Linked DNA regions of Drosophila melanogaster. The protein of the gene in region 1 binds, or shares a complex with, the protein of each later gene. Each region holds a gene or a part of one and is shown in the gene's direction. Other genes may lie near its edges.

What was found.
Region 2: CSN3 (region 1) and CSN5 share a complex: the UniProt entries of both Drosophila melanogaster proteins name them as parts of the CSN complex.

What each region holds. Positions count from the first base shown.
Region 1 is NT_037436.4:20,833,223-20,849,614, reverse strand, and holds CSN3 (COP9 signalosome subunit 3), read left to right. Parts: upstream 1-8,038; 5' UTR 8,039-8,150; coding exon 8,151-8,205; intron 8,206-8,318; coding exon 8,319-8,567; intron 8,568-8,626; coding exon 8,627-8,889; intron 8,890-8,947; coding exon 8,948-9,142; intron 9,143-9,213; coding exon 9,214-9,390; intron 9,391-9,717; coding exon 9,718-9,849; intron 9,850-9,908; coding exon 9,909-10,091; intron 10,092-10,149; coding exon 10,150-10,217; intron 10,218-10,274; coding exon 10,275-10,290; 3' UTR 10,291-10,519; downstream 10,520-16,392. Other genes in the region: CG32432 (uncharacterized protein), read left to right, coding at 1,101-1,292, 1,370-1,779, 1,835-2,050, 2,104-2,437, 2,495-2,761, 2,820-3,003, 3,060-3,266, 3,324-3,525 and 2 more; CG11456 (uncharacterized protein), read right to left, coding at 6,060-6,194, 6,257-6,634, 6,687-7,212, 7,266-7,564; CG13255 (uncharacterized protein), read right to left, coding at 11,030-11,233; CG3288 (uncharacterized protein), read right to left, coding at 12,660-13,030, 13,095-13,404; Pka-R1 (protein kinase, cAMP-dependent, regulatory subunit type 1), read right to left, coding at 15,529-15,613, 15,746-15,885, 15,958-16,332. UniProt on the Drosophila melanogaster protein: Component of the COP9 signalosome complex (CSN), a complex involved in various cellular and developmental processes.
Region 2 is NT_033777.3:16,461,971-16,476,898, forward strand, and holds CSN5 (COP9 signalosome subunit 5), read left to right. Parts: upstream 1-8,128; 5' UTR 8,129-8,208; coding exon 8,209-8,469; intron 8,470-8,522; coding exon 8,523-9,099; intron 9,100-9,158; coding exon 9,159-9,304; 3' UTR 9,305-9,436; downstream 9,437-14,928. Other genes in the region: CG42232 (uncharacterized protein), read right to left, coding at 1-4,415, 4,493-4,867, 4,923-5,003, 5,063-6,705, 6,863-6,906, 6,980-7,201, 7,264-7,437; Gyc89Da (guanylyl cyclase at 89Da), read left to right, coding at 11,400-13,403. UniProt on the Drosophila melanogaster protein: Probable protease subunit of the COP9 signalosome complex (CSN), a complex involved in various cellular and developmental processes.

The sequences.
Region 1 (16,392 bases):
AGGCCAACTAAATTAAAATTCGCACAATTATGCGCCAAATACCAAAGCAAGCAGAAACCGCACAAAAATGAACGTGATTCGTTCATGTTAGATGTGAAATCGGGTATTACGCTGCTACCTACAGATTCAAAACCTTAATGAAGTAACTACTATATAGTTTACTGAAGAAAGTGCAGCTCTAAGAAATGACTACTCCATAAAACAAATCCTTTCCGCAGACCATCTTCAGTAAATCTAAGCTCAGTTCAATTTAATTGTATTTTTAAATGTTAAAATGTTGATTCATGTTGTTTTAAATGTTGATTTCAAGTAACTTTTTAACAACAATCTGTCAATTTTAGTAAAAGGTTAAAAAGAGCTCTCTGAACTTGAACCTCCGAACTTAACCGCATAAACATGTTACTTTCATTTAAAGCAAACTTTAAATGGTCTCAAAATGCTTGACATTTAGTGCGCATCAAGTGTCGGACACATCAAAGCCATTGTGCTCAACTACTTAGGCCAGCTCCAAGTCCTTCTTACATTTCCCGGAATTTTCCCAGACTAACATACCGCACCATTACTTGCCATCGTTCCTGGCAGGCGGAATGTAACCAAAAATCACGTATACGTACAGTAGCCATTAAGTAATACAAGAGATGCTGCACTTTGGGTCCACTTCTTTACAGCAATTACCGTCCCTTTGCACTCAGTTCGACCCGACCCCACCCCACCATATCGCCCGCTTTTTAGCCACACTCGGCCTTTAACTTCAATCACTACACTTAGAAAAACAAATATCACCCTTATGCGTCACACTGATCACCTTTGCAATATTAAAACAGCTCCTTTTCAGATGATATCTACCATTAAACTATATAAACTTAAATAGGATCTGCCGTTGTTAAACAAACAATTTCCCGTTTAATATAATTTAGATAGTGTTCTTCACTGTGTAGTTAGTTAGTGCCACCCACATGGTGAAAACAACAAGCACCACCCACATTTGTCGCCGACTCACTCATTTCGCTCTCTCCTCACCCACTCTGTTCTCCTTCTTTTTCGCCCTGCTCTCTTTCTCGTTCTCCTCTTGTCTCTCGTTGTCCTTTCGCTACCCGCAGGACTACGTGACCGTGTACGACGGCTACACCACACGTGACCCCATCATATTGAAGTTCTGCGGCGGTGGTCAGGCGGTGCCGGCGGCCGTTTCCAGCGGTCCGGAGCTTTTGGTCGAGTTCAGCACGTCGCCGTTTGGCACCTTCACCGGCACCTCGTCGCAGGTACTGCCGCTCTACGGATTCCAGCTAGAGGTGAGTGGGTCACCGGTCGCCAAATGGCAAGGCACTCTTCTGGGGAAAATGCTTGACTTTGTTTTTCCCCTTCGCAGGTCGAAGTTCAATTCGTGGACATCCAGAGTCCCACGTACTCGAAAAACAAGAAACCCTGCGAGTTTTGGATTCGCGGTGCAGGTCGTGGCATCCTCGAGAGTCCCAAGCACTCGCTGGCTCCCAATTCCACGTGCCTGTATCACCTCCAAGGGCTGGGCGTCTTCAAGACCTTTGACCACCTGAGTTTGTCGCGCAGGACGAGCAGTCAGTCGGGGATGCATCAACCGCTCTCCCGGTTCAAGGTGTGGATTTCTGTTCTGAAGTTCAACTTGGATCCGGAGTTTGGCCAGATAGATGAGACATCCGTGGGCGCAATTGGAGTGCTGCAAACGCAGGAGGATTGCAGTGGAATGCTGCGCATCTGGGATGGAACACTAAGGGATGCACCCGTTTGCAAGGACTTGAACTGGTAGGTGATTCATCTTATACACAAAGGAAGACACACTAATTTCAAATTTTTATAGTGCCACCGAGACGAGTAGTTATAACACCTTGGGTCACTACACCCATAACTCCACTAGTGTGATTGCCAGATTTTGTCGGGGCACAATACCACGCACCTGTGATAGATCTAACATAAACGAGACCTACGCAAGACCATGCACCATCTCGGAGAGCTATGTGTCCACCAGCGATGCCATTACGCTCGAGCTACGCAACACGGAATCCACAGTATTAAGGTGGGGTTTCTTTTGAAGTACTTGTCCAAATCCCTGGTAACCGTTTTTTTTAGACCACTGGATTTCAAGCTGAAGTACGAGTTCATTGATTTGCACCAGGATGGTTTGCCTTGGGGTGGTGGGGAACACGATTGCAATCGGAAGTTCCTTAGCAGCATGATGGATCGCAAGGATCCTGCCATCTTCCGCAGTGTCCGCAACATATTCCTATTTGGAAGAGGAGGAACTAGAAACCTTAAATGCATCTATAAATTCGAGGCACAGCGAGGCGAAAGGGTCAGAATCAAGATGAGAAAAGTAACGACCACCAACAGACCGTGCTATTCACGTGTGGATGAGGATATCAATCGCTCCTTTTGCTATGGCGATACCAATGTCAGAATTGAGGTAGGTATAACCACCTTTAAGCTTTCCAATTTTACTTAATATTACGTTTTACTTTAGATCTTTGAGCGACCCTACCATGATTCCATTTTACTTCATCGAGGCTGCATGTGCAACTCCTCTAACCAATCCCACCTACCGGTGGAATACACGTCTACAAGTCGCGATGTGGAGGTGCACTTCATCGCCCAAAACATGACCACCTTGGACGATCCAGATACGGTTAACTTCGAGGGTATGTTTGAGTTCGTCAAGGCTCCAACAAGCTGCAAGGATGGACGCAGGAAATTCGGACCAAGTGGCACTATAGACATGACCTTCGGAGACGTATGTAGATCCGTAAGCTTTAGGAGGCACAAATGAGATTTAAAATTTTTGTAATCAGGTGGAGTGCCGCTCAAGACCCTGGCTCATTGAGCCTTCTAATGGCAACAAGTTTTTGTACGTCCGCCTGAAGGCCATTTTCTTGAGTAAACACAATCCCACGCAGACACTGAACGCGACCTATGTGCAGACAGATACTTGGAGATGTGAGACCAAGTCCAGAGCTGTACTAACCACGTCGGAGGGTAGGCTATAGGATGTTCCATTATTGTGCCAGCTCTACAATCTGTACTTCATTTAGGCCTAACCATTGTGGCTTGTCCACTGAGTCCCGACTCGAATGCCTACGAGTTTGTGGAGATCTTTAGTTCCGGATGGAACGAAAGGCCAAATTTTGCGCTTGTCAATCGATCCCGAGCCATCAGCGTCGAGTTCCTGCGTCCTGGCAACGGGGAGTACTCCTTCAACTGGATGGAACTGATTCCCAGGCCCACACTGAGCATGGCGGGTAAGCATAATAGATGATCTTGATTCAAATGGTCTTCTTATGGATCCAATCTCGCAGAGGACTGCCAGTTTAAGTGTGCCGAATTGGGTGCCTGTGTAAATGCCAGTGTTTGGTGTGATGGTGTAGTCCACTGTCCTTCCGGGGACGATGAGACCTTCCTGCAGTGTTCAGCCTTGATGAAACTGCCCGCCGAGATCCTGGCCACGCTCTGCCTCATCTTTGTGCTCTCGTGTTGTGCTTTCGCTGCCTTTGCCTACAAGTATGTCATCTATTACAGTACATGTCCACTAATTCTATAATTTATTACATTACCACACTCGAAATAGGAAAATCAAACGCAAGCTGCGCGGCTCCTCGGTGCTGCAGACGCGACTCAAATCGCTGAGCTCGATGGACACGGCCGTTCTGGATGAAAAGGAGGTGATTTGCTGACAAAGCGACAATTCTGTACGTTACGTGGAGATCGATCGTGTGACCACGGTCTGATGCTCGACGGCCAGTAACGTGCAGAATTGTGCCCCGGAACAGACACCAGTATCGCCACCACAAGTCAACCAAGAAACAGAAACCACAATTTCAACTGACGCGAATGCGAAACGCAACAATGAAACGATGAGAAGAAAAAATGCAACCCTTTTTCGAAATCAAAGCCGAACAACCAGAATCAAAATCGCTCACCTGTTTTTTAAACTGCATTTATATGAGAGCGTATCCGCTACAGATCGCAGGATTTTGTTGGTTCTATTTGTATTAATCTCTATTTTATAGATCAAAAGACTCAGATGACAAAGTGTTCCCCTGGTTTTTAGTGTCGCGCAATTTTATAAGCAATTTTCTAGGCCTAGGGTTTTTCGTATGTATTTTCGATATGATTTCCCAAACTCGACCCACAAAAACCAACACACTGTACATACTAACGATTGCTTAGCACAGGACGACGAGGACCAGAAATCGGACAGATCTGACCAGTTATAACTTCCACTACGTTCGTGTCCTTGGTTCTTACAGAGTACTCATAAACCTATGTAGATACAACTGTTTCCTAATAGCCTTTAAGTGTATCGTACTATGCTAATCGAAACCGACAGACAAGTGATGATCATCATCACGAGTTTAGATGGGAAAGAGTTAGTTTTTTTGGAGAACGTTTAAGAAACTCACACAGCATTTATTATGCGGCGCACAAAACAAACAAGTAATAAAATCAAAAACAAAACAAAAATAGTAAAAATCCAAAGGAGTAAGCTGACGGAAGGGAGATGATTAATCGACCATTCCCAGAGTAGATCGTAAGTGGAACATGTTTTACATTTTAAGATTGATGGATGCATCGTAAACGTAATTTAGTCGCCAGAGGGACGCAGTGGTTAGTCGAATATGTCAATATACATACAAGCTAGATGAATTCGTTAGTTGTTTAATAGACGTTGTAGTGATCATGGATAATATCAGCATAATCAAAGCTAAATCAAGGCAACAATTTATAGGTATCTCGTCGTATTCAAAGTACTCAAAAAACCCAGTCGAATCGAAGTCATTCAGAACTCACGCCCATTGTTGTTAATGTTGTTGTCTCCAAAGTGCACAGTTCGCTTCATGCCACACCATCTAGCGCCTGCTCCCTCACCACTAAACCAAACCAAACCAAATCAGATCAAAATCAAATCAAATCAAAATCAAAACCACACCAAACTTTGCATGGTTATCCTCGTATGTTGGCTCTGGGCTCAATGGCAGCTGACTTAATCGAATCATTTTCTATTTTGTATTCTCTCTTTGAACATCCCTTTTGTGTCGAAGAAAAAACCCGTCGTTGAAACCAAGATCTAAGGCTCGGGGATCGAAAGCAAAGCAAAAAGCACGGCCTGGCCAAAAAGGAGGGAGCAGGGATCAGGGACTCGGAAAATACAACACAACAGAGTGTGAATCAGTCGAAATTATATTTTTGTTTAAACTCTTCTTCCTTTTCAAGAACTGTAAATAAAACAAATAGAAGCTGTATGATATTAACAATTTTATATTGAGTGTTTTATTTTCCATTTTGCTGTACTACTCAGTTGCACTCTCAAATAGTGAATATGTTTTGATATTCGATTCAAACTCAGACAATAAACGTTTAAATCTATTTTGTAACTCGGTAGTAACTTATTTTCATTACTATAGCAAACAAGTGGACAGGAGTTGCATAACTTTTGGATTCTCCAGATCACTTGGTCTGCGAAGTCCTGTAGCTGATTAAATGCGAACGAAAAGAAATATATATTAAACCAAAGTAAAGCTCAACTACTGAACTAATTAAATCAAATTAAATATTAGCAACTTACACAAGTTATTAGTGAACTGCCCAAATGAAAACATTTCTGTCGTAAACTAGATTTAACGGCGCTGATCTTGAAACCGAACTGAAACCGGATGATTATCGCTGGCAGAGTAGATTTTTAAATTTTAAATTAGTTTAAAGTAAAGCGTAACTGATAATTAAACGGAACACGGTAAACCAGCATGACTAAATAATTCGAATGTTGAACAAAAAAATCATATCAGATTCTAAAATGATATTAAATTTAAATGGAAAACTGAACAACTTAATAAACAAGCATTTAAATCCCCAAAACAAACTGCATGAGAACATTATTTTATACAAAACTCTTTACAGCGCATTGGACACGCCATATTCAACAAATTGAATTGTACATAAATACATAGGACATAAAAACAAAGTAATCAATAAAAAATGGGAAGTGAATCAACTCAACGCTTACCCCTAATCTATCAACTTAAAATGTTATAATTTTAGTCCTTTAAGTACGTGGGAAATTGAGTATCTTCAGATGGAGGAGCTGGTATGGTTACACCACCCGTATCCAGAGCTGGTTCATGGGGCAATGAATCCACGCTCTCCAACGGCATAAAACAGTCAGCTGAAATCTGCAAAATAAACTGTAGCTTATACAAATGATAAAAGATGATGAGAAGATCAGGGGACATACCTCCCCGTTCTTGTCGCCCACTTTTCGAGGATACTTGAAGCCAGCGGCACGTGCATCCATAGAATCCTCACAATTTGTGATCAAGCCCTGTCGATGATCCTGTTTGTGGGCTCGTAGTCGTTCTACATTAATTGAGGTGAAGCTGCAGATATCACAGCACAAGTCCCTATAGGCTTCGGCATGATTGAGCCGCATGTGGCGCTTAAGAGCATTGGCTTGGATGCAGAAGTAGTCGCACTGACTACATTTCAGGCTGCTCCTTGTGTCCTGGCTATCATGACGCTGCCGATGCTTGTGCAGGACACTGGGATCGCGAGTGGAGAACTTGCATTCGCCACATTGCAGCGGCTTCTCGCCCGTGTGCTGACGCATGTGAATCTGGAAAGAGTATTAGGTAGCAAGAAGATCGTAAAGTGCTATCTGAACTCACTATTAAGCTAGCCTTGCGAGCCGTCTTTTTGCCACACACATTGCAGATAAATGGCTTGATTTTGTTGTGAACAGTCTTCACGTGTTTAGAGAGCGTTTTACCGTTGACAAACTTGCGATTGCAAATCTCGCAAGTCTTCTCGGCATAGTATTTGTTTTTCTTTGACGATGGTGGCAGAGCAGCAGGTTGCGCGGCCATCTCTGCGGACTGTTCCTTGAGCTTTCTTCTCCGCTGAACGGCAGCCAGTGACCGGAGCACCCTGGGTCGCCACTTTTTGTGAACCTGCATGTGGCGCCACACGAGAGCGGATATGGGCGACTTGTAGTTGCATTCGAAAACGGGACACACTAGTAGGTCCACATCCACCTGGTGGGCTTTCCACAGGTGAGCCGAGCACCGCCGCCAGTTGGGCAGTTCCATGCCACATTCGCAGCAGGAAAAACTGCCACCCTTATGGCAACTACAGTGGAGCTCCATTTTGGTAGCATCTTGGAACTTGAAGGGGCATTCCTTTCCAAAGGAGCACCTTTAACAAACGAGTTTGTCAGAAGCTTATGGTAATAATATGGACATACATACGGCTCTAACATGTTGGCCCTTAGCACCAGCCGAAAGTCCTTGAAAGGCATGGGCTGCAGTTCACTTGCCGGGGGTTCCGAGTTCTCCGATCGCTCCACAACGGTTTGCTTATCCTGGCTGTTGCTGCCGGCTGCAGTTTGTTCCTTAGTTGAAGTCTTCGCAGTTTTGTTTTTGACACTGGGCGTTGAGATGGGCTCATAGCCGTGAAAGTAGACGAGATGTCCTCGAAGATCCTCCTGGAGATCATATTGACGAAGGCAGAGACTGCACACATATACGATTCGCGCAGAATTTTCCATTTTATATTAGTTACATTTCGTATTGGGATATTAACAGCAATTCAATAACAGCAACAAAGTGTTATCGAAAATAGTGAGCACTATCGCGGCTGCACTATCGAAATTTGAAATAGTTGTTTTAGAATAATTTTCTTAAAATTTCATAAACTAAATTATAAACATGGCATAACGCTGATTCTAATCGAAATTTGAACTAGTTGTTTTAGAATAATTTTCTTAAAATTTCATAAATTAAATTATAAACATGGCATAACGCTGATTCTAATGGTAAGTGCGCGAATTAAATTTATATAGTATAGAGTACAAAGAAGAGCATCAAGTGTCTTAATCCTTTAATTTTTGTGTGCCTGTTCTAAATTTTTCCAGCTGAGTGATAGTGTTATAAGTTATAGATGGCGCGTTATTACAGAGCCAGTGTAGAACAACGCTGTCTTTAGGCCACTAATCGATAAGAAATCGACAGCACCGAATATTCATCGTTTTATTCCCAGCTCTAATCCGTCGGCAGTCATTTGTTATTTCGCGAAATTATTTTTCGCAGTTTTGCAAGTTAATAGGCCAAAAAGTAGTCTCGGAGTTACCTAAAATGGGCAGCGCGCTGGAAAACTATGTGAATCAAGTGCGCACACTGAGTGCGTCCGGTAAGTTGGCCGACCGGCGAAGAACGATCCTCAAGAAACCGGGCTCGTTGCCGCCTTTGTTTTGATATTAAAGCGATTCGCAACTAACTTTGCTGGCTGGCTTTTCATCACAGGAAGCTATCGGGAGCTGGCCGAGGAGCTGCCGGAGTCGCTGTCGCTGCTAGCCCGCAACTGGAGCATTCTGGACAACGTGCTGGAGACGCTAGACATGCAGCAGCACTCGCTGGGCGTGCTCTATGTGCTCCTGGCCAAACTGCACAGTGCGTCCACCGCGAATCCGGAGCCGGTACAACTTATCCAGCTGATGCGGGACTTTGTGCAGCGCAACAATAACGAGCAGCTGCGCTATGCGGTGTGCGCCTGTGAGACATGAATCTTCTGTTCCAAAAGTACCCTAAAAGTAATCACATATCCCATTCAGTTTACGAAACATGCCATCTGTTTACCGAGTTTGTGGTGCAAAAGAACCTCAGCATCCTGGGCATACGCATCATTTCGCGCGCCATCGACCAGATTCGACAGTTGGAAACCCAGTTAACTCCCATACACGCCGATCTCTGCCTGCTCAGCCTGAAGGCGAAAAACTTCAGTGTGGTGCTGCCGTATCTGGACGCGGACATCACGGACATCTCCACCGTGGCAGCCGAGTGCAAGACGCAACAGCAGCAGCAGTCCCAGCACGCGGTATTCACGGTTGAAAATGAACTTCTGGGCTACTAGAACTCATAGATTAATTTTTTAGGATGCCAACAACGATGCCAAGTACTTCTTGCTGTACTTCTACTACGGCGGCATGATCTACACGGCGGTGAAGAACTACGAGCGTGCGTTGTACTTCTTCGAAGTCTGCATCACCACTCCGGCAATGGCCATGTCGCACATCATGCTGGAGGCCTACAAAAAATTTCTCATGGTTTCACTCATCGTCGAAGGCAAGGTAAGCTGGACAACAATTTAGTTCCGTTTATATATCAGTCTCTCAATCGGAAAATCTTGTGTCGGTTGCAGATAGCGTATATACCAAAAAACACACAGGTCATTGGTCGTTTTATGAAGCCGATGGCCAATCACTACCACGACCTGGTCAATGTGTACGCGAATTCGTCTAGCGAAGAGCTGCGCATTATCATACTCAAGTACAGTGAAGCATTTACGCGTGATAACAATATGGGACTGGCCAAGCAGGCAAGTATTTAAGGGTCATTCCTGGTTCTTTTCTAATCTGTGGCTTCCGTATGTAAAAAGTAAGACGGTATTCGAAAAAAAAATTAAAAACACCCAATTCTTTTCAAGGTTGAACAGTGCTACAAATTGAACTTTTAATTACTCACCGTTTCAAATAAAAAAAAAATAATTAAATTTATGCGGAAGTATAAACATAATATAAACATAAAATTATTTCCGGTGGAAATTAAATTTAGATTTTTCTGTATTCTAAACAACACAGTTTTTTAATAAGATAACTGGCAGAACCATCTAACTATGAAACTTTAATATTGGGTATCCCCTTAGGTGGCTACCTCCTTGTACAAGCGAAACATCCAGCGGCTCACTAAAACCTTCTTGACCCTTTCCCTGAGCGATGTGGCCAGTCGTGTCCAACTTGCCAGCGCAGTCGAAGCAGAGCGTTACATTCTCAACATGGTAAGAAGTTGTCTTCTTTTTTCGTTTTTTATTTATACCGAGATAATACCTAATTGCAGATAAAATCGGGTGAAATATATGCCAGCATCAATCAAAAGGACGGTATGGTGTTGTTCAAAGACGACCCAGAGAAATACAACTCACCGGAGATGTTCCTCAACGTGCAAAATAATATAACACACGTTCTGGATCAAGTTAGGCAGATCAACAAAATGGAGGAGGAGATCATTTTAAATCCAATGGTAGGTTCTATTGTGAGGTTATTGGTTATATGTTATTTGTTTAAATTCCATTTGGCAGTATGTGAAAAAGGCTCTTGGCAGCCAGGATGATGACCTAACGTCGCAGCACCCAAAGACTTTCTCGGGGTGAGATTTGGAATAAAAACGAACCGAGAATTGTTAGTAATGTTTCCTTTGTTACAGTGATCCCACAGATTGATGATACCACTGCCACAGAACCACCAGCAGCCTGCTGCTATCATTTCTACGCTCATCCAATCCCCAACACCGTTTACCAGAACTTGTCGAAGCCGCGAGGCCCTGGGCCCGAAAGCTGACGTCTCTTGCAGTCCGTACTCATTCAGCTACCACAACAACAAACTGCGCTCTTATTGCAAATTTAAAGATGAACATGCTATTTTAAATAAACTATGTATAAATCTATGACTAAGTCAGGGATCCTTATCACGCATTTGATTGACTCACAAATTATACGTCTCGATACTGCAACGATAAGGCTGTTGTGCCTTTTCTACGCATCGTTCGATCAGGCGACGTTTTACTGTCTGGACGGATCGGTTAAGTGCTTTGTACTTGCCCCCAATCTACCTTAATTGCAGTTCAGTTATCGTTCACGTTATTTTATTTACAATATCAATGTACATGTAACCTAACCTTAGGGCAAAAACAAACAATTAAGTGACTAGAGGACCAGCGCGTTTAATGTAGTTAATTTCTACTCGTAAGCCTAGTTTCGTGTATTTATTTACGTCTAGTCTAGTTGCATAGCTTAACATATCAACAGGCGTCTAGGTTGTGTGGTTCGTGCGTGTGGGTGGTCAGCAGCTGTCGTTCGTCGTACATCGCTCCAATCGCCCGAATTAAAACCGGAGCTCTGACATCGGAGACTGAGACTTGAGATTCTCGCGCCTCTCATAGCCAGCTGCGCTGCACCCATCCTAACCGGTCTTCATGGCGTCTAGCTCCATGATGGAGGTCTTCAGCTGCTGTGCCGGAGAAACCAGCCCCGTTGATACCTCGCCGTTGAGACTGCGATACAGCTTGTGGACCACATTGACCAGTATGAAGCACACAATGAGCACCAGCAGCGACATAAAGACGTAGGCCAAGACCAGCGGTGCGTCCGAAATGGGGTCCAGCATGGCGATATGTTTGAATACAGAAATATATATATACCGAGAATATGTCTTGAAAATTTGTTGTGACTTTGTACACTCGCTTTCCGTAAGGAAATGTTAAAGAGTGTAGTCCAGACAGCTCAGGTTCAGGTAAATAGACGGGTCGCAACGCGTATGTAAATTAGCCACTTGAGCATACACATATATAGCATGTATATGATATTCTGGAATTGTGACCGCGTCGGCGTTTCGTGTGTACGTCGCTTGACACCTGCCCGAGAACTGAAACGAGCCGAGAGCGTTAAATGGATGGAACTTTGCTTGGCATTACGTATACGCTTCGTTGCCAGACTGTTGCCGCTGTAGATCTTGCTGTATGTTGTGCGTCCAGTTTTAAGTTTTTGGCTTGGTTCTGATAAGCCCCTTGTGCAATAGAGTCTGTAACTTGGGCCAAGATTAGAAAATCGCCTCCACTTCTTGGAGTTCCCAGCGACTGAGAGCCGCCGCTCTTTACATCTGGCAACTTTTCGGACTCCAGCTTTATTTAGAACTCATGGAGGAATTCCAGTCGCATTCATATTCGCCTCGCAATCAAATCAACAACGCTGCCTTCTTAATTGGCCGCGTCAATAAAGAATGAAATGGCGTCAAACAAATGCTTGGGGTCCCTCGTCTCGTGGAGGTGGCGAGATCTGGTTGGGGGTAGTGATTTCGGCAATTAGGCATGATAGCCAGGCTATCGACTCGGCCTGAAAAGCTTTTTATCTACTGATAACGAATTTCACAGTCACAATGATAAGACCCAAAGACCCGCGAACCCCACAAGTTAAGGTTGCGTGCCATGGGAGTAGGAAAATCCAATTGTTAGAAATTAAACTTGGAGCTTATATTAAAGTATCACCTTATAGTCCTATAAATATATTTTTGAAGACTCCCCACTCAGCCTTTTTTAAATCAAACACCAAACATATTAATGTAACGTGACAAACTTCTGTATGTGGAAAATTACCTAACGAGCTGTAAACTTTTGATTTGTTCAGCGTTGAAAGAATTCAAAGTATGTTTTGTTTTCTTAAATAGGTCATTAAATGCGGAATTCAGTTTATACATAGGGAATGGAAAATCGAAATTGTTATGGAATTTATTAATGGGAAAATAGGGCTGAAAATTTAAATTTCCTAGATCGAGTAGCTGGTAAATATATTTACCCAAAAAAGGAAGCTTAATTAACACCCCCTATAAGAACACACATGTGTGCGCCTCTGTTCCGCTGGCTTTCACCTTCGTTGTCACGCGATTATCGTAAACTAGCGTGAGCTCAGTGCCCGACCCACTGAACCAGCCGTCGACCCTGGAGCCTCCAGCTCATTGATCTTTGTATACAATTTAATAAAACTAGTTATACCGCGACCAAGCAGCCCAGAACAGACGACGTATACCCCCCTATCCTTTAATCCGGTATCCGGGAGTTCCGCCTTGAGGAACCAGGTCGGCAGGCGGCGGCGTTATCCGTACACCTGGCATCCTGGTTATCTCTGGCCTCCTGGATCACGTCGTCGAGGGTCAACTGGATACGACTGTCCGGCCTCGGGTCCGGCCGCCTTTGGTTACACTTGAGCATGACTTTGAGGCGCGGGATCTTGGAGAGGTGGTCATAGAACCGCACTATATGCAAGGACCCAGAAGGCCTCGGTTCAGAGGCAGCACACACGGGCTGATCCCGGCAGTTGCACAAGAAACTGATGGCCTTCCGGCTGGAACTAACATCGAACTCGGCGCTGACCAGGTAGCAGGGCTCCAGGGAGAGCACTATACGCATCACTAGAGGAAGAGAGTCCGGGAGGAAGAGTAGGCCGAGCAACTGTCTCACTGGCACTGATCTTACCCGAAGAGGTCTCCAGGATCTGTGACCGGTTCTGAATCCAAACTGACCGTAAGCTCGGCTGATTGGAACGTGGGCTGCGGAGCGAGCTGTCCAGGTATTCCCGTATGGTCATCGCATGATTGGAGTGACGCAGTCCCAGGAGCTGTTGCCGTGAGTTGCCGGGCAAGGCGGCCAGAGGCAGGTTGTCGTAGACGGAGACATAGATCTTGTGGCTGATATAGACCACCACGAAGCACAGGATGACGATGAGCAGTCCGATAAGCAGGTAAGTGAACAGTGTCGGTATAAAGAAGATGGCGTCCAGAAACATGGGGTCGCTGATCCGGAAGTGCTAACTCACTGACAGAATACGCAAATCTACAGAGAGGGTTACGGGAATCCATGGGAGGATCTTCGAATCTCTTGGTTTTTGCAACATCTATGTAAATGTATTTATTTCGTAGTTTCTGTATTTTTTTATTGTTTATTTTTTGTTGTTTGTTTGTTGTCAATTTTTTTATGGATTTCTGCCTTGTTTTTTACATACGATTTTACATTGATAATATTATGCTTGTAATTTAATTGTATTCCACTCGATCTCCTTGCCTCCACTGCCTGCACGTCGGCTTAAAGTTGATTTTTCCGTGACCTCAAAACGATTTTGCCTTTTATTTTCGTTTCTGACCCGCCGGCGGGTTCCATCTACGCCCAAATGGGCGTGGCCTGCACACGGCGCAGACCCCTTACAAATGTTCTACATAGGCTCAACCTTTAGCATTTTGCATTTTGCTCATTTTCTAACAGTGTCTCATAGCTGAAATATTAGCACAGATATTTTCGATTTAAGCTTCTGGTCTGTAAAAATGTCAAAATTTTAGCTTTATCTCAGTATGTGTGCATTTCAAAATCGCATTTTCCAGTTATGACTTCATGTTTGAGAGGAGGTGGATGAGTGTGTGCGCGTGTGATGTAGCAACAGCTGTAGATAATGTTTCATGATCTATCGAGCAGATATAAGCTTTATAAATATATACACACAAATGTTCTTGTTGGCTGCGTTTTTTTCTGAGTGTTGTAAATGCAACTTCTCGTTTGGGCAATATTCATTAGTTCACACAGATACACACGCACACTCACCCAACACACAGGCAAACCCATGCTATCCGATATAAATTGTTGCAGTTATCTTCTCGTTAGCTGGCAGTTTTGGGAAATGCCTAGTACATTAGTTTTGAAACTTTAGAGGTATTCCAAGAAATGTGTATAATCAATCAATTTTAATTTTAAATTTTCAACTATCATAACGTGATTAAAAAGTATTGTATGGCTTTTTTTTAAAGCCCAAAACTCCAAAATTACAGTCTTACAATATAAGAAAATAAAACAACTTTCTAAACTTGACATATGTACATTTTTGAAGAACGGAAATACCTCTTTGATAACAGTTAAACTAGGCATTCGCTGTGCTCAAGCTTAAATTAGTTAATAAAAAATCATAAAACTATGTTAAGATTACAAAACACCTTTCGATGAAGAAACAAGAAACATGTTAAAAAATCATGAAGTTTTCACTGATTTTAATGTTTAATTGAAAAGTTTACGCTCGCTGACTTCACGTGGTACGCGTTTACTTGTAAGAATAATTTACTAAAATTAAAATTAAAATGGTTAATTAATTGCTGCCGTTGTGCTTTTGTTCTAGACAAAAAACAACGAATCATACAAGCAAAATACCATTGTTTCATTCAAGTCCTATCATTTCCATGACTTCATGCCTCGTATGAGAGTGTGTGAGTTGGTGTGTCTGTGTTTTGTGCCTGTGTGTGTAGCCTTTTATGATTTAAGTTATTACACATATATTCATCTTGTTTATTTCTTTTTTTAAAAACATTCAGATGTCTGTTGGATATTTAATGAAACGTTTTTGAGGAGGCAGCATGTCCCATAGATTATACAAATGGGCTCTCTTTTTCGAAAGACCCGGAGAATTTAAAAGAAGTTGAGAGAAGTATATAGATGTATCCGGGGAAAGCTATCTCCGATATCGGGGGTCGCGGGGTGTGGAACATGCCGACGCAACCTTTGCACAGAGACACACACATACACAATTATATAACTTCAGCACAACATACAGAATCGGATAATTAATATTTGTTTAGCCCTCAGCCCGCGTGCTCTCTGAATCTGAATCTGAATCTCCGACAGAATCGAGAATCAAATGGCTGTGACAATTAATTTTACACACTTATATAAGTTACGACTTCATGTTTATGCTGCTGAGCGTTTGTTTTTCTTATCTATATATCTATCCAACTAGTTCCCATCGTCTTCCTGTTGGTTTCTCACGTTCGCTGCGTTGTTGTTTCTGTTTGTTTTGTCGGTTGTAGTTGCTTTCTTTGCTGCTGCTGCTCTTTGTTGTTTATCTGCTGTAGTGGTTGTTGTCGTTGTTGCGGTCTTAAACGGACAACGATACGAAACTGTTGTATTGCGTGATGTTGCGTTTGAGTATGTCGGCGCAGGGTCCCAACACGCGTTCAAATCTGCAACAAAGCCAAAAAAAATTTACAGGTTAGCTACTGGAGAAGTTACTGGAGACAATTGATTTTATAATTGCTTAAGGTCATTAACATACACCTGCCTATTTGTCTTAGCACTCAAGCCACTGCACTTACCTCGCCCGGTCCAGTTTGACGCATTTGAGCGGCCCACGAGCTACAACAGTCGCTGCACGTGGTCGGTCCAAAAGCAGAGCAATCTCGCCAAAGTAATCGCTGCTACCCAGACGGCCCACCTCGGCGGGATCCTCGCCCTGCTGATTAGATAAACGAGTTGATTAGAGTGTCTCTTTTTAGGTGTCCCATGGTGTCTGATCGCGGTCACTCACCTCAGAACGCTGCTGCAGCACCACCGCACAGCCCTCGAGGATGATGTAGAAGTCATCGCCAGCTGCTCCCTGCTTGACAATCGTCTCACCGTCATCGAAGGAGCACGTCTCCAGGGAATCGGCCACTGTGAGGCGCTCCCATTTGTCCAAGCTCTCCAGAATGGACACGCGCGATAAGAACTCCTCGTACATCTTGCGCTTGCGGATGGTCGAGCCCATCAGAATGCGGCGGTAGGAGTCGCGGTCGATTCCCCACAGCTTCACATCGGTTTTGGCGCGCACGGTGGCGGCGCGAGGAGTGCCATAGATGAGGGCCAGTTCACCAAAGCTGCCGCCCTCGCTGATGGTGGTCACTAGTTCGGAGTTGACGAAAACCTGGCGAAGATGTGAACATATTCATAATGATGCAAACCCAATTCAAAGGTCATAGCAAGA
Region 2 (14,928 bases), on another chromosome or scaffold:
AAGTGTTCCGTCTTCTTGCTCTTGATTAGTATCTGGTTCCATTGGAAAATTGCCTTTTCCTTGTAAATTATCCGTAGAGTCTTCACCTTGACTTGTTTTTGTGGAGTCGGCAGATTCTTCAATACTGACTACTTCATGTGGCTCGTTTGCTGAAGGTACAACCAAAGAATTAGTAGAAGAATTGAATGGTGCAGGTTCTATTTTAGCAACGGCATCTTCGTGAGGTAAGACGATAATGGCTTCGACTACTGTTGATTCAGGTCCCTGGCCTGTAGAGCTGGAATTAGCTGGGTCACCTGGCTGTGGTTGCTGCTCTTTGACAATTTCCTCTGACATAATATCAACCTTTTCTACTTCACCGCCATCTTCAGCACATTGAAAATCTGCCATTGCATCAGATACGTCTTCCACTTTCGGAATAGGAAGCTCAATTTCGCGTGCCGAAGAAGCATTAGGTAATTCCCCATTGGGACTTGATGAATTTTTTAATACCGCGGTTTCTACCTGATTTATTTGTTCGTACATTTTTTGTGATTCCACTTGGCGTGGTGAAGAGTTTGCAGCGTTTAAAGTTGATATCTTAGGGCAGATTTCTTTTTCGGATGGCTCTTCAGATATAATTGAAATATGATTTGGTGGTTCAGTGACTTCATTTTGGTTAGATGACTCTTCAGACACACATTCTTTTACATCATTGTCTTCTATTACGATACCCTCTATAATGGAATCATCGTTAGGATCTTCAATTATTGAATCTTTGTTTAGAGGACATTCCTCAGCAATGCTTGAGGAATCTAACGAAATCACCTCATCGTCAGAATGATTTTGATTGCGATTCTCCGTTTCCTTTGTGTTCACCTCCATATCTGAATGTTTTTCGACTAAGACAGATGCTTCTGTGTAACTTTCATCTAAGCTCGAGGCATCTAATTGAATAACTTTATCGTCATTGTCCTTTTCGTCAGAATCCTTTTTGGGTATACATTCTGTGAATTCTTTTTTGTCCATCGAGCTAACATCTTTTATTTGGTCGGCATTAGATTGTTCTTTAAGCATAGAAATTTCTGTGGATTGATCTTTATCCTCTCCAACTGATGTACTTTCATCTAGTGTATCTTTCTCAACAATGATGGAGGCGTCTAAGCGAATCACCTCTGCTTTGAAATCCTGATTTGGTTGGCTGTCCTTAGGTTCCTCTAAAACAACAGCTTCGGATTCTTCCATAATAGAAACCTCTTTATTCTGGTCCGTTAGAGATTGATGAATTAGTGCATTTTCTTCCAGTGAACTTTGTTTAACTCCGCTCAAGGCATCCTCATCTATGTCTTCAAATTTCTCATCACTCTCTTTATGAGCAGCGATTTCATTTGATGATACCTCCATTGCGACGTGTTCTTCGACGTGATCGTTTTCATTCTGTTCATCAACTTGAGCGGCCTCATCTTGTGACATTGATGTCCCACGTAGACGAGTCTTGGGAGATAAATTCGTTGGTTCTTCTAATGAGCTTACATTAGCAAGATCGCACGCTATGTGCTTAACACAAGCGTTGTCATTCGGCAAAGCTTCCATATTTCCCTTTTCTTTACTTATCTCGGAAAGATCTAAGTCTAAAGAAGTCGTCGCGACTTCTTCTGAGTGTTCGATCTCAAATGCTGAACTAGAATTTCTTAAAGAGAACTCATCGATGCATATATCTACCGGCCCGCAATTTGTAATTTCATCCGGAGGAATTAGCTTATCTGTTTGAGGATTAGTTTCCACAACTGCATTATCCATTTTACTAACAGATGAATCCTCTTTAGGACTGGCTTCTATTGGATCTTTCTCCGCGTGTGATGTTTCGATGACTTCCTGGGTAGTCTCATCAGGTTTTGCTTTCTCATGCGGTTCTTCGGCTGGTGATTTTTCAAAAATTAGTTGATCAATTTGACTTAAATCAGGCACTATATCAGTTCCTGCTGTTGATAGTGGTTCGTCACAAGAAGTTTCGATGGTTGGCCTAGTTTCAGCAGATGGTGTTTCGACAATTACTTGATCCTTTTCACTAGAAGAAGGCAACTCATCAGGATGTGCCTCTTCTAAGGGTTCTCTTTCAGGCGATGTTTCGATGATTGGTTTAATAGTATCATCTGTTTTCGTCTCTTTGAATGCTTGAACCATTTCACTAACAGTAGGCAACTCATCAGCTTTAGCTTCTTCTTGAAGTTCCTCGGTTGGATACGTATTGGTGACGGATTGGATAGATTCATCAGTTTTTGTTTCCTTTAAAACTTCCATGACGGGATACGGTTTTACTTCTTGTTTAGTATTATCTAAAGTGTGTACCTCCTCACGTTGGATATTCTCTGAAAGTTCGTTGAGAGGCGAACTTTCGATGCAATGTTGATTAGATTCCGCATCAGTAGAAACATCAGGTTCTTGTTTTTGTTCCACAAAAGGCAAAGTCTCAATGGCTGGTTGAATGAGTTCCCCATCAACGGAAACCTCATTGGAGTTGGTTTCTTTTACAAGTTCATCGGAATGTGATTCAGTCAACGGTTGCTTAGACTCTGCGCCAGGGGCTTTTGGAGTCGGCGAAGTTTCTGTGACTGGTCGATCCGATTCTGCAGCACTCGAAACCTTATCTGGTTTGGTTTCTTCGGAAAGTTCTTCAGAGCGCTCAATATATGGTTTGGAGTTGTCGTTGTCGATGGGGTTACCATCACCAGATTTCGCCTCTTTTGCCAGTTCTTTAGAAGAGGATATTACGATTGGTGGTTCATCAGTATGCAAATCACTTTTATTGGATGGTAATACTTCGCCAACTGAACGATATAAGTCAGTAGAGGATTTTTCATCTGTAACTGAAGTGTCTTGGGCATCGTTTGTGGCCTTGGCATCTTCTTGATTAAGATTATGTTCAGGTATAGTTTTTTCCACACTACTGTCAAGGACATTAGTAGAATTGATCGAACTATCCACTGTTGTGTCTAAAGGAAATATCTCTGACTCTAGGATCGTCAATTCCACTGCAGATTCAATATTTTCATCTGAATTAACTGATGCGATATCTAAACTTTTCTCTTCTTGAAGTTTGCCACCTTTGAGATTTCGGTCAGGTATAGTTTTTTCCACACTACTGTCGAGGACATTAGTAGAATTGATCGAACTATCCGCTGTTGTGTCTAAAGGAAATATCTCTGACTCTAGGATCGTCAATTCCACCACTGCAGATTCGATATTTTCATCTGAATTAACTGAAGCGATATCTACACTTTTCTCTTCTTGAAGTTTGCAGCTTTCGAGATTTTGCTCGCAAGTACTTGCCTCAATTGTGGTATCTTCCACTTCAATTAGTGAAATTTCACTGATAGCACCCGTTTCGACATCATATTTACTTGAATTCTCATCGACAGTTTTGTGTTCCGTCAGATTGACAGATTCTTCAAGCTTGTAGGCTATAGATGGTTCCTGAGCACTGTCAGATTGTTTGGTAGTTCCTTCCGATTTCTTTGGCTCCTCTTCATCATCACTAAATACCAAGGGCTCAGTAAGGCCAACATTTGAGTCTGTATCTGAGCGATCCTCAATGTTATCAATAGGTGGATTGGTCTGGCCTAAAGGCCTCGTCTCATCCACGGTGACTTCGCACGACTCCACGCCCGAAACTACTAGTGCTTCGGAGAACATTGAGTCCGACGACTGGTCCAACAACTGAATTCCACTCATCTCGTTCGGGTTGGGCGAAACAGACCTGAAGTCGCTAAGATTGGGATTGGCATGCATGGTAGCTTTGTAGGTGGTGCTTGTCAGAGGATCCTCTAGGGAAGCGCTCGCTGTGGCTGTATGCCCAACATTCATCAGTGCCTCTGATGCCACTGTTTTATTCTGATTTATTGAATCCAAAGGATCAACTCCAGTCGCTGTGCTGATCGTTGTCACATTAATTTCTTCCGTGTCTTCCATATTGGCCCCAGTCGTTTCGGACATGTCCTCGAAAATCTTGTCCAAATGCAATGTGTTGTTCGTCACATTCAGATCGTATTCCGTGGTTGCCCCCAGAAAATCTTTGCGAGACTTTAACACTGTGCTAGCTGGTTCATTTGGCACCATGATATTCCGGGCGCTGGGCGTCTTCAGAACATTGTCCAGAGGCTTTCCTTGCTCCATGCGAGCTAGTGCAGTGCTTCTTCTATCGTGGTAAGGAGTCCTACCAACAGAGGTTTCTAATAGTTCTGCCATGTTTCCTATAATTGGTGAGGCAGGAATTTTCGGAGTGCGCATCAGTTCCCTTAGCCCTTTAAAGCGGGGTGTGCTGCAGCTTTTTGGTGTTTTCAATAAATCTCTGAGGCCGTGGAAATCTACCTTGTCAATATCATCATTTGGCAGCTCGTTGCCATAATTTTCGTCGTCAGCGATGAAAGATTTGCTATCTGTAAAAAATATAATTTAAATCAAATAAGCCATTATATTTCCATTCCATTTCATAAATGATATTGACTCAACTTACCATCTTCGGAACCAACTTCTTCCAATATGACTCCCATATCGCCCACAGATTCATCCACCTGAAGTTCCCTATTGGGTGTGTTCTTAATACGCAATGATTGGCGCGTTGGCGTGGACATTTCTTGCGTAAATTGCCGCTTGCGCCGGGGAGTAACAGCGACTTGGCTGTCCATTGCTGAACAGGATGCACGACGAGAACGCTTGTTGTCCTTCTCAGGTAATGCCTTACTGCTGGCCTCCATCGAGGATCGCCGAGTGCTTCTCCGTGGCGTTGTTGACACTGCCCTCTGCTCAACAGAATGACGGCGCAAGCTTCTGCGAGCCACGGGGGTTTCTGCACTTGGAGTTGGTTGGTTCTCTTTTTGAGATATCCCTCCTGTCGCAATAAAATAAAAATGTATTTTGGGAATTTTCAAATTTAAATCGCTTACCAGTTGAATTTGAATTACCAGTAGTACTCTCCAATGGCAGCTCTTCGCAAATACTTTCCTCGATTATTTTCTCAGAATTAGCTGTTACGGTTTTGGAACATAAGATTTCATAATATTTATTTCATATTATAGGTACTTACAATTCTTAGTTTGTTGAGGAATATTCGCATGAACCTCTTCGCAAATGTTATCCTCAATAACAGCATCCTCAAGTTGTTTGTCGATTGGAAGTTCACAGTCTTTTTCTTTACATTCGTCTTCATTTTTGCCGGTTTTCAATTCATTTTCGTCACGTTCATTCTGGTCGAGTATGACCGCATCTGGCTTAGGATTCATATCTTCCTGTGCATATTTTAACTCGCCTACCACATCAGATTCTGACCCGATCGACTCAACTTTGTCTTGGATAGGTGCAGGCTCTTCTGAGGTCACTGACGGAAGCCTCTTTTCAATTAGCGAGCTTAGCTGAAAGGATACATCATCGTCTACTTCCCCAGTTATGAGAGCTGTAACCGCTTCGATTGCCAATGCTGCGCCACTCTGATCGTTTCCTTGGGTAGTATCATGCAGTATAGTGAACGTGCGGCTCAGCTCGTCCTTTGAATCGTCCGGTTCTTCCGGAGTGGAGCTCTTGATCTGGGACACATCGATTTTTTTTTGACATGGAGATGACGGTTTAGATGATCCAGGCTTAGGGGAGCCACTTTTCGGCGAGTTAAGCGAACGACGTGCCTTGGCTACGAGCTTGTTGCTCTTGTCAACGCCGGGACTACGCTTGGCAGCCGCAAACGATTTTCTGAGCTGGGAGACCTTGTTCTCTCTGGGAGACTCCATTAGGGATATACGCTTGCGTGGCGAGGTCTTGGGTGCGTTTCCTCTCGTATGTCCTTCTCGCTGGACTGGCGTACGACGATGTGGATGGAATGGCAAACGCCGAGGCGTAGTCAGGCAGTGGCGACGAGCCTCCAGAAGAGATGTCCGCTTGGGGGTGGCTATGGGGGTGGTCTTATCTGGTTGGTTGGAGGCGATCTGCTTTTTAATGCTGGTAAGCAACGCTCGTTTCATCAGTGACTGGGGCGTTCTATTGGGTGTGGTGATTCCAGCCGGACGCTTAGGAGTTTTATACCGTTGCGAAGGGCTTGCTGATGGCGGGGTGTCAGAGTTAGTTATGTCTATGACTAATGGGGATGCATCTGATGATTCGTCGGTGCTGTCTACACTGATAGGCGTCTGTTTGGGTGTGAGCTTGAATCCAAGCGTCTGTTTGGGTGTTTGTCGTAGCTTTGATGGGGTGGTCAGGTCGATCAGGAACATGGACGAATCCCGCTTGGTTTTTTTTGAGGTGGATGGCGTGCTAAAGTCCATTAGATCTCGGCTGCAGCTGTCTTCGTTTAGTTCAGAGAGCACATTGCCCTTGGGGGTGCTGTATACGCTCTTGGGCGTGGAAACAGCCAAAGACGTCGTGGTGTAGCCAGGTTTTCGAACACATGAAAAGGATTTCTCGATCTTCACGCCAGTCTCGCGCGGCGAATAAGAGGTAATAACCACGTCGGAGATGGCGCACAGCCTTAGTAGCTTTTGGTGGCTACCTGGTGGCGTTGCGGTATTCTCCTTATTCTGCGTAGCCTCCAGAAGATTTACTTTGGGGGACTCGTAAGCTGTCTCCTCTGTGCTGCGCTGAATTGATTCATTCAGTGAGACATCCTCCAAGTGAGACTCACTCTGATCACGAGACTCTATAGAAGTATTTCCTTCGTCGTCCGAATTGATGCTGTAGTGAAAACTGAAAAGGTATAAGCAGAGATAAGGTTTTATGAGGACTATTAACAGGCAGACAACACATGCTTGCAGTAGGGACTTTTTCCTATTGTTGTTGCCCAAAGACATTTTAGGGGTTGGCCAGGTAGTCGGTTAGGGGTCTGCCTGCTGTTTTCACTTACTTGTGAACTGTCAGGCGTTTTTCGGCTTGTAGACGATGCGATTGCTAAATCAAATAAAAATGGGGAAATTGTAGGACTTGGAATACTGTACTATCTGGAACAGATGGCGGCTATTACCTTCAATGAAGGGCAGGAGTTTGAGGCCTGTTCGTTGGGCAATAGGCGTTCTGGGGTGCATGGGGCATCCTGCACCTCGGAGGTCTTGGGGAACTCCCACGTGTAGACCTTGTCTCGAATGGTAATCTTGCCACCGTGTAGCAAAGGACGCTTGCCTGCAGCGTGGATGGCCACGTCGTTGAGATGAATGGGGTCTCCGCTGGACTTGTTGTATATGATGACCTAAGGGCGGAAGAAGCAGTATGTTAGGGCGGTTAAGGGGGATTCCTGCCATCCAGACTCACCCTGCCGAAGGCATCGCAGTTTATTTCGCAAATTAGACGCTCCTCCTCTGGCCCCTCCAGGATGAGGTCGCAATTGTAGTAGGAGCCCACCTGGAAGGTGCGCCCTTTGGCTGCCAGAACCACGGTTTTACCATTTTCGTCTTCGTAGCGCAACCTACCGCCATCCAGCGACATTTTCCAAGCGGCGTCGCAAATGCGGCTTGGGTGCGGGGAAAACGAATACCGAAGCGAGCACTTTGAAAAGCCGCAAAGCTATTGGGAATAATACGGTAAATGCACGTACACAAAACACCCACAAACTATTCACTGATTTCTTTCACACTTTTCCACCAGACACTGTTTTTACGGCCCACATCACGAGCTTGCCAAAGTTAATTGTAGCGAAAACTCTGTGCAGGAATTTTTTTGCAATGGACGCGCAAGCCCTGCCAACCTGCTTTTAATGCGCCGGCTTATGCGTTACATTTAAAATTCGGGGTGCAGGAACTGACAACTTACTTGAATTAAAAGTGGTTTATATTATGTGATTATTAATAATGGTTAATCTCAAGAAGTGAAAAGAAAGATACAGATTACAGATACTGCGATGAATCATTTTGTCACTATGAAATAAGGTTTTAAGTTTTTTTTAGTCAAAAATGCTGCAAATTAGAGTGCGTATCGTAAACAGAAAAATTAAATTAAAAAACTTTCCTTGGTAAAAAATTAACGATTAAAAATACATTTTATTTATTAAACAAATAAATTGTTAATATAGATAAATTTTAAATTTTTTAATCAATATTTTAATTTCTTAACTTATAATAATCGATTTATAAAAAATATCGATTGTACCTTCATGAAATTGATTGTACAGATGGTACCGACAAGTTCATCTCTAGAATTGAGCCGGAAAACAAAAACTTGCAACAAAAGACTACAATTTTCGGCATAAGTACAATCACAATGGACTCCGACGCCGCACAAAAGACCTGGGAGCTGGAGAACAACATCCAGACGTTGCCCAGTTGTGACGAGATCTTTCGCTACGACGCCGAACAGCAGCGGCAGATCATCGATGCGAAGCCCTGGGAGAAAGATCCCCACTTCTTTAAGGACATTAAGATCTCGGCTCTGGCGCTCCTAAAGATGGTGATGCACGCTCGCTCTGGCGGTACTTTGGAGGTGATGGGTCTAATGCTTGGCAAGGTAGAGGACAACACAATGGTGAGTTATTGAATGTAAAAAAGGTCCTCAATTTATAAGTCATTCCCGTGCAGATTGTCATGGATGCATTTGCACTGCCAGTGGAGGGCACTGAAACCCGCGTCAATGCCCAGGCACAAGCGTACGAGTACATGACCGCCTACATGGAAGCGGCCAAAGAGGTGGGACGCATGGAACACGCCGTGGGCTGGTATCACAGCCATCCCGGTTACGGTTGCTGGTTGTCCGGCATCGATGTGTCCACCCAGATGCTCAACCAGACATACCAGGAGCCATTCGTGGCCATTGTGGTTGATCCGGTGCGCACTGTTTCCGCTGGCAAGGTGTGTCTGGGTGCATTCCGCACGTATCCAAAAGGTTATAAGCCACCAAACGAGGAGCCCTCGGAGTATCAGACCATCCCGCTGAATAAGATCGAAGACTTTGGAGTCCACTGCAAGCAGTACTATCCCTTGGAAATTAGCTACTTCAAGTCTGCTCTGGACCGCAGGCTCCTCGACTCTCTGTGGAACAAATACTGGGTAAACACACTGGGCAGCTCGGGTCTGCTCACCAACACAGAGTACACCACCGGTCAGATCATGGATCTCTCCGAGAAGCTGGAGCAGAGTGAGAACTTTTTAGGTCGCGGTACATAATGGGTCGATTTAGGAATTGTGCAAATAATTTACCCGCTTTATTATCCACAGGAACCGATGTCAATGAGAAGCGTTCGGAGGATAAGCTGTCCAAGGCCACCCGAGACTGCAGCCGCTCCACCATTGAACTGATACACGGCTTGATGGCTCAGATTGTTAAGGACAAACTTTTCAACAAGGTCGGACTGGGCAAATAGTTCAACACTAAAATTCGCAATGAATTTTAAAATGCATTGTGAATTTTCTTTTCATTTCCCTGGGAAATATTTAAGTAAGTCAAGCTTATCCAAAAGAAAAAGGAAATTATAAAACCGCCTCATAGGCTGATGAAAAAAATCTCAAACGCTTTTACTTTTAAAATGGGTTCTTTTTTGTAGAGAAACTGTTTTCGTTATTTATGTATTAGACGACGGAAGGCATAGTAAAAGTTGAAACTTTTATTCGCCTGGACGAAAAACAGCCGATCCACCATTTATTATATTCTTTCAGATAAACAAACCTTTTTATTGTTAAATAAAAAACGCTTCTGCATTTGACATTTATAGAATATAAAATAATTGGACATGGCGATAAAACATTGTCGAAAATGTGATGCTTGGGTAAATCAATTGGTCTAGAATTATGTAACCCGAGCCGGTCTCAAAGCAACAACTGAAGCCCACCGACTGAAACATTCCCTAATTGCTTCGGGATTTTTAAAGTAAATATTACACAGCCTGGTTAGCTATACAAGCCAAGCCGCGAATGCGTCCCTCTCATCAATCAAATGGTTTCATTATTTTCATCGTTTGGTTTATTTTACAACTTGTATTCCCCGATTGCGTGTTTGCCGATGGGCTCTAGGGTTTCCCTGACAGACCCGTAGTCTACTGTCTGCTCCTGGGAGCGAGAGCTACAAGTGAGATGTCAACGCCCTTCCAGCACGTGGCCCAATCAATTTGAAGGGACAGGAAGGGGGCCGCTTGCGAAGGGCGCTAATTAAATACGCTGTCACGTTTATGGCCGCTGTGAAGTATCAAAAAAAAAAAAGGGGGGAGGGGGCGCCAAGGCAAATACAAGTCCTGTTTAACCGTTATCATCACTCCTGCAAGGAATGCCCATTAAAATGTCAACATTTGTGTGCTTGTGCAGGATTTATTCTGTGGAATTTTTAAATCCTCTTAAATGTAAATGTAAATTGTGGCGCATAACAAGTCCAAAAATGCCACATCAAAAAGGGAGATAAACAAAATAACAAGAAATATTAACGCACTTGGAGTAAGCAAACGAGAACCTTTATAAAGATTTACGTGACAAAACCAACGAGGACTGCGTTTGTGCGTGTAAGTTATTGGTGGTAAGGCAATAAAACTTTCATTTTCAGACATTATATCGAAAAGTAACCGTCAATTGGCATCAACAAGGAGCATTGACATGAAATGTAACACTGCCAAAGGGGGTTAGACCCTCCGCTTGGCGAATGGGAAGGATGAGTCTACAACGATTGCCGAGGTGCTATAAAAGTCCCAGCGACGAACGACAGGCGCTTCATTCGCGTCCTGGATGCCAGTTAGAAAGCTTCCTGGATGCCAGTTAGAAAGCTTCCCATTCGCGATACACACATACAGTCCAAGCCGAGGGACGTCATTCCAGCATCTACAGCATCCTCCTCGTGCGCTTTCGTCCAATAAAAATCAAAGTAATAGCAATGGAAAACCTATTCTCCGAGTGCTATACGTGCGTTTAGTGCCTTGGGAACTTTAGCCAGCATATGTGCTCCTTCATATTGTGTGGGAATCTATTGAATTTTCAGTTGTAAATTTCAAGTTGTAAATAAGTTAGCAGAGTAATAGTGCATATTTAAAGTGAATCACAAGCAACGCGATTAAGGAAATTTAAAAACTTACAAGGCGGCGATTGAATATTAAACGGAGACTTTAAAGTGAAACTTAACCACGGGGACCTGTTGAGCAAAGCAAGTGAAATTTAAAGAAAAGTGTTGAGAAGTGGAATAAATTGAACTACTAAGAGAGATTCTTTTAAAGTCATGTTTTTAATTTGTTTAAATTTTATATGTAATATACTCAAAAAAAAAGGTTAAATTTATTTTATATGCAGATGGTAAATTAATTCTGATAGACACTTCTTATAACTTCTTATAATATATAATTTCTTATAATATATAACTTCTTATAAAGGAACAATCGAACAATAAATTGAGACAATGTATCTCGTTGTTTTTATTGTTTTATCATGTTTTCTTGTTATACATTTAATCGTCCATTGTTTTCCATTTTTTCAGAAACATAAACCATGTATGGAATGCTGTATGAGAGTGTGCAGCACTACGTGCAGGAGGAGTATGGCGTGGACATTTGGCGGAAGGTGTGTCACATCATCGACTGCAAGCACAATAGCTTCAAGACGCACCAGATCTATCCGGACAAGCTGATGCCGGATATCGCCGAGGCTTTGTCCGCCTGCACGGGCGAGTCCTTCGACTTCTGCATGAACTTCTTCGGGCGCTGTTTTGTGCGATTCTTCAGCAACTTCGGCTACGACAAGATGATCCGCTCCACCGGGCGATACTTCTGCGACTTCCTGCAGTCCATCGACAACATTCACTTGATTATGCGTTTCACCTATCCCAAGATGAAGTCGCCCAGCATGCAGTTGACCAATATGGATGATAACGGAGCTGTGATCCTATACAGAAGCAGTCGCACTGGAATGTCCAAGTACCTAATTGGGCAGATGACCGAGGTGGCCCGCGAGTTTTACGGCCTGGAGATCAAGGCTTACGTGATCGAGAGCCAGAATGACATCAGTGGAGGCACTGCTGGTCCCATCAAGCTCACGGATGGTCCCTTGACCGTGATTGTGAAGTATCGTCTGGACTTTGATAACCGGGAGTACATGGCCAAGCGCGTCAATACGGAGGCCCATCCCTCACAGCTCAAAATGCCCACCGTGAAACTGGATGTGTTCCTCGATCTTTTTCCCTTCACATTTGTGCTGAACCACGACATGAAGATCACGCATGCTGGTGAGAAGATCGTTGAGACCTGGATTATGCACAATCCAGGGGCCAATCCAAAGAGCTTCATTGGCACCCACGTAATGGACTTGTTCCAATGCCGTCGTCCGAAAGACACCACTATCGACTGGGATACCCTGATCCAGATGAGAGCCGTGCTCTTTGAGTTCGAGTTGATTCGCACGGGTCACAATCGCGCTGCCTACGATGCTGTCTTAAACATGGACTTTGAGAACTATGACGAGATGGACTTAAACGAAGCCCAAACTATGGCGCTGGCCAAGGCTCAGGAGTTCAGTGAATCCCATCCGGTGGATGATGATGAATCTGCGAGAGAGGATGAGATCGACCCTGCCACTGGGGAACGTCGATCTTCCCAGGGCTTGAGGTCCATCCTTTTGAAGGGACAGATGTTCTACATCAAAGATGTGGACTCGCTGATCTTCCTGTGCAGTCCTCTAATCGAAAATCTCGATGAGCTGCATGGAATCGGTCTCTATTTGAACGATCTTAATCCACATGGACTGAGTAGAGAGCTTGTGATGGCGGGATGGCAGCACTGCTCCAAGCTGGAGATCATGTTTGAAAAGGAGGAGCAGCGATCGGATGAGCTGGAAAAATCGCTGGAGCTGGCAGATTCCTGGAAGCGGCAGGGGGATGAGCTGCTCTACTCCATGATTCCGCGGCCCATTGCCGAAAGAATGCGACTCAGCGAAGAACAGGTTTGCCAGAGTTTCGAGGAAGTGTCCGTCATCTTCCTCGAGGTGATGAACGTCTATGATGAAGGATTGAACAGCATTCAGGGAGCTATGCAGACGGTGAACACTTTGAACAAAGTATTTTCCGCTCTGGATGAGGAGATCATTTCCCCATTCGTTTACAAAGTGGAGACCGTGGGCATGGTTTACATGGCTGTTTCGGGTGCTCCTGATGTGAATCCCCTGCACGCCGAACACGCCTGCGATTTGGCCTTAAGGGTGATGAAAAAGTTCAAGGCTCACGATATGGGGGACGTGGCTATTCGAGTTGGCATCAATTCGGGACCTGTGGTGGCTGGCGTTGTGGGCCAAAAGGTTCCTCGATACTGTCTGTTTGGGGACACCGTTAACACCGCCTCGCGAATGGAGAGCAGCAGTGATCCCTGGAAGATCCAGCTATCGAAGTACACCGGCGATAAAGTGCGCCAAGTGGGCTACAAAGTGGAGTCGCGTGGTACGGTCCAGGTCAAAGGCAAGGGCGACATGGAGACCTACTGGCTGCTGGAGGGTCCCGAGGGCTAGGAATAGAAAAATATTAAATGTATCTTTATTTATAGCACCATGTTCTGATTGTACGGCACCTGTGGCTCTCTTAATTTGTTGCAATAAAAGAGAATTTAGCTCTGCTCCTCTGACTTTTTGTGAAAGTATAAATAATACCTATTTCCTGCTGGTTTTGGGACAAACTTAATTTGTTTAATAATACCAGCTATCTATGTAGACAATAGACTCTTATTGAATACACCCTTTATAAGCTCAAGTTCTTATAATATCCTCCATCCTGCCTTTTCAATTACCAACTCCTGCCATTTCCCGCAGACAACCCTCATTTCGGAAAATCCATTTTTAATAACTTTTATGGGCGGTTTGCGTGTCACTTTGCACACCATCATCTCCAACCCACGACGGACCATCGTAAGCCCATTCAAACATACAGTAACCTCCGTTCGCCTCTTTCTTATATAAATTAAATTAAGTCACTCTGCGTGTCCTTAGCTCGAACGCCTGGACGTTGGACACTTAATTCCGGTGCAATATTGAAAATAACTACACTGAACAAATAATAAGACTTTGAAAATGGTTAAAAAAAAATAAAAATAAGAATTTTGAAAATATTCTTGTATTTTCTTAGTTTAATAAAAAAATATTTTTTGTCACAAAAGTTGATATCAGAACTTTTGTGTGTTGAGGGCCATCGTCATTAGTTTTTACTCCGTTAAGAGCTGTTTTTGTTTGATTATATTGAGTTATTTTCTTCGGGACCCAATGTACATAAATATAATATTTTTGTAGTTATGCAACGCGTGCCTGTCGCATCTGTAATTGATGGCTTTTTGAGTGGTAGAAGTATCTCCTTCTTTTATTCAGCCGGGCATATTATCGTCCTCTTAGTCGAATAATGGTCTGTCCATAAAATTGTCAACGTTTATTTAATAGACTAGCCCTAAAATCCGTTTCGTTTAAGTGGGACAAAGGCTTTTTGTTCGATGCTGTGAAATCCCTTTTAAATTGCTTTAAAACAACACATCAAATATGTGCAGGATTCAGGCTAACATGTGTATGTACATCTTTTTGTATATATAACTGCGTGAAAATGGAAAAGCATTAAGCACAGAGCCACAAAACCATTCCTCCATCGGGGAAATGGCAAACGGCCAAAGCGAAAAACTCTGTTACAATGATACATTTGACAGACGGTTTTCGATACTTCAGGGCTTGGGATATACATTCAAAGTACTCGAGTATTTCTAAATTGTAAGAAATGGTTCAGAAAATTAGAACAGCGTTTTATACAGAGAATACAATTGGAAAGAAATTATCTAAAGGAAACTAAAAGTTTGAAATTTTAACATTTGTATAAGCCACATATCTATTATAACTGACTAACCTAGTCGTCAGTCTATTACTAGGTGTTATTCAGCCCTGGTAAAGACCCAAAGGACAATACTTTCCCAGGACACCGCACACATATATATGTACATCGATGTGGGGGAGTGAGCCCATAAAAGGAAATGAACGGGGAGAAAAATGACTCCTTCGGTTGTGT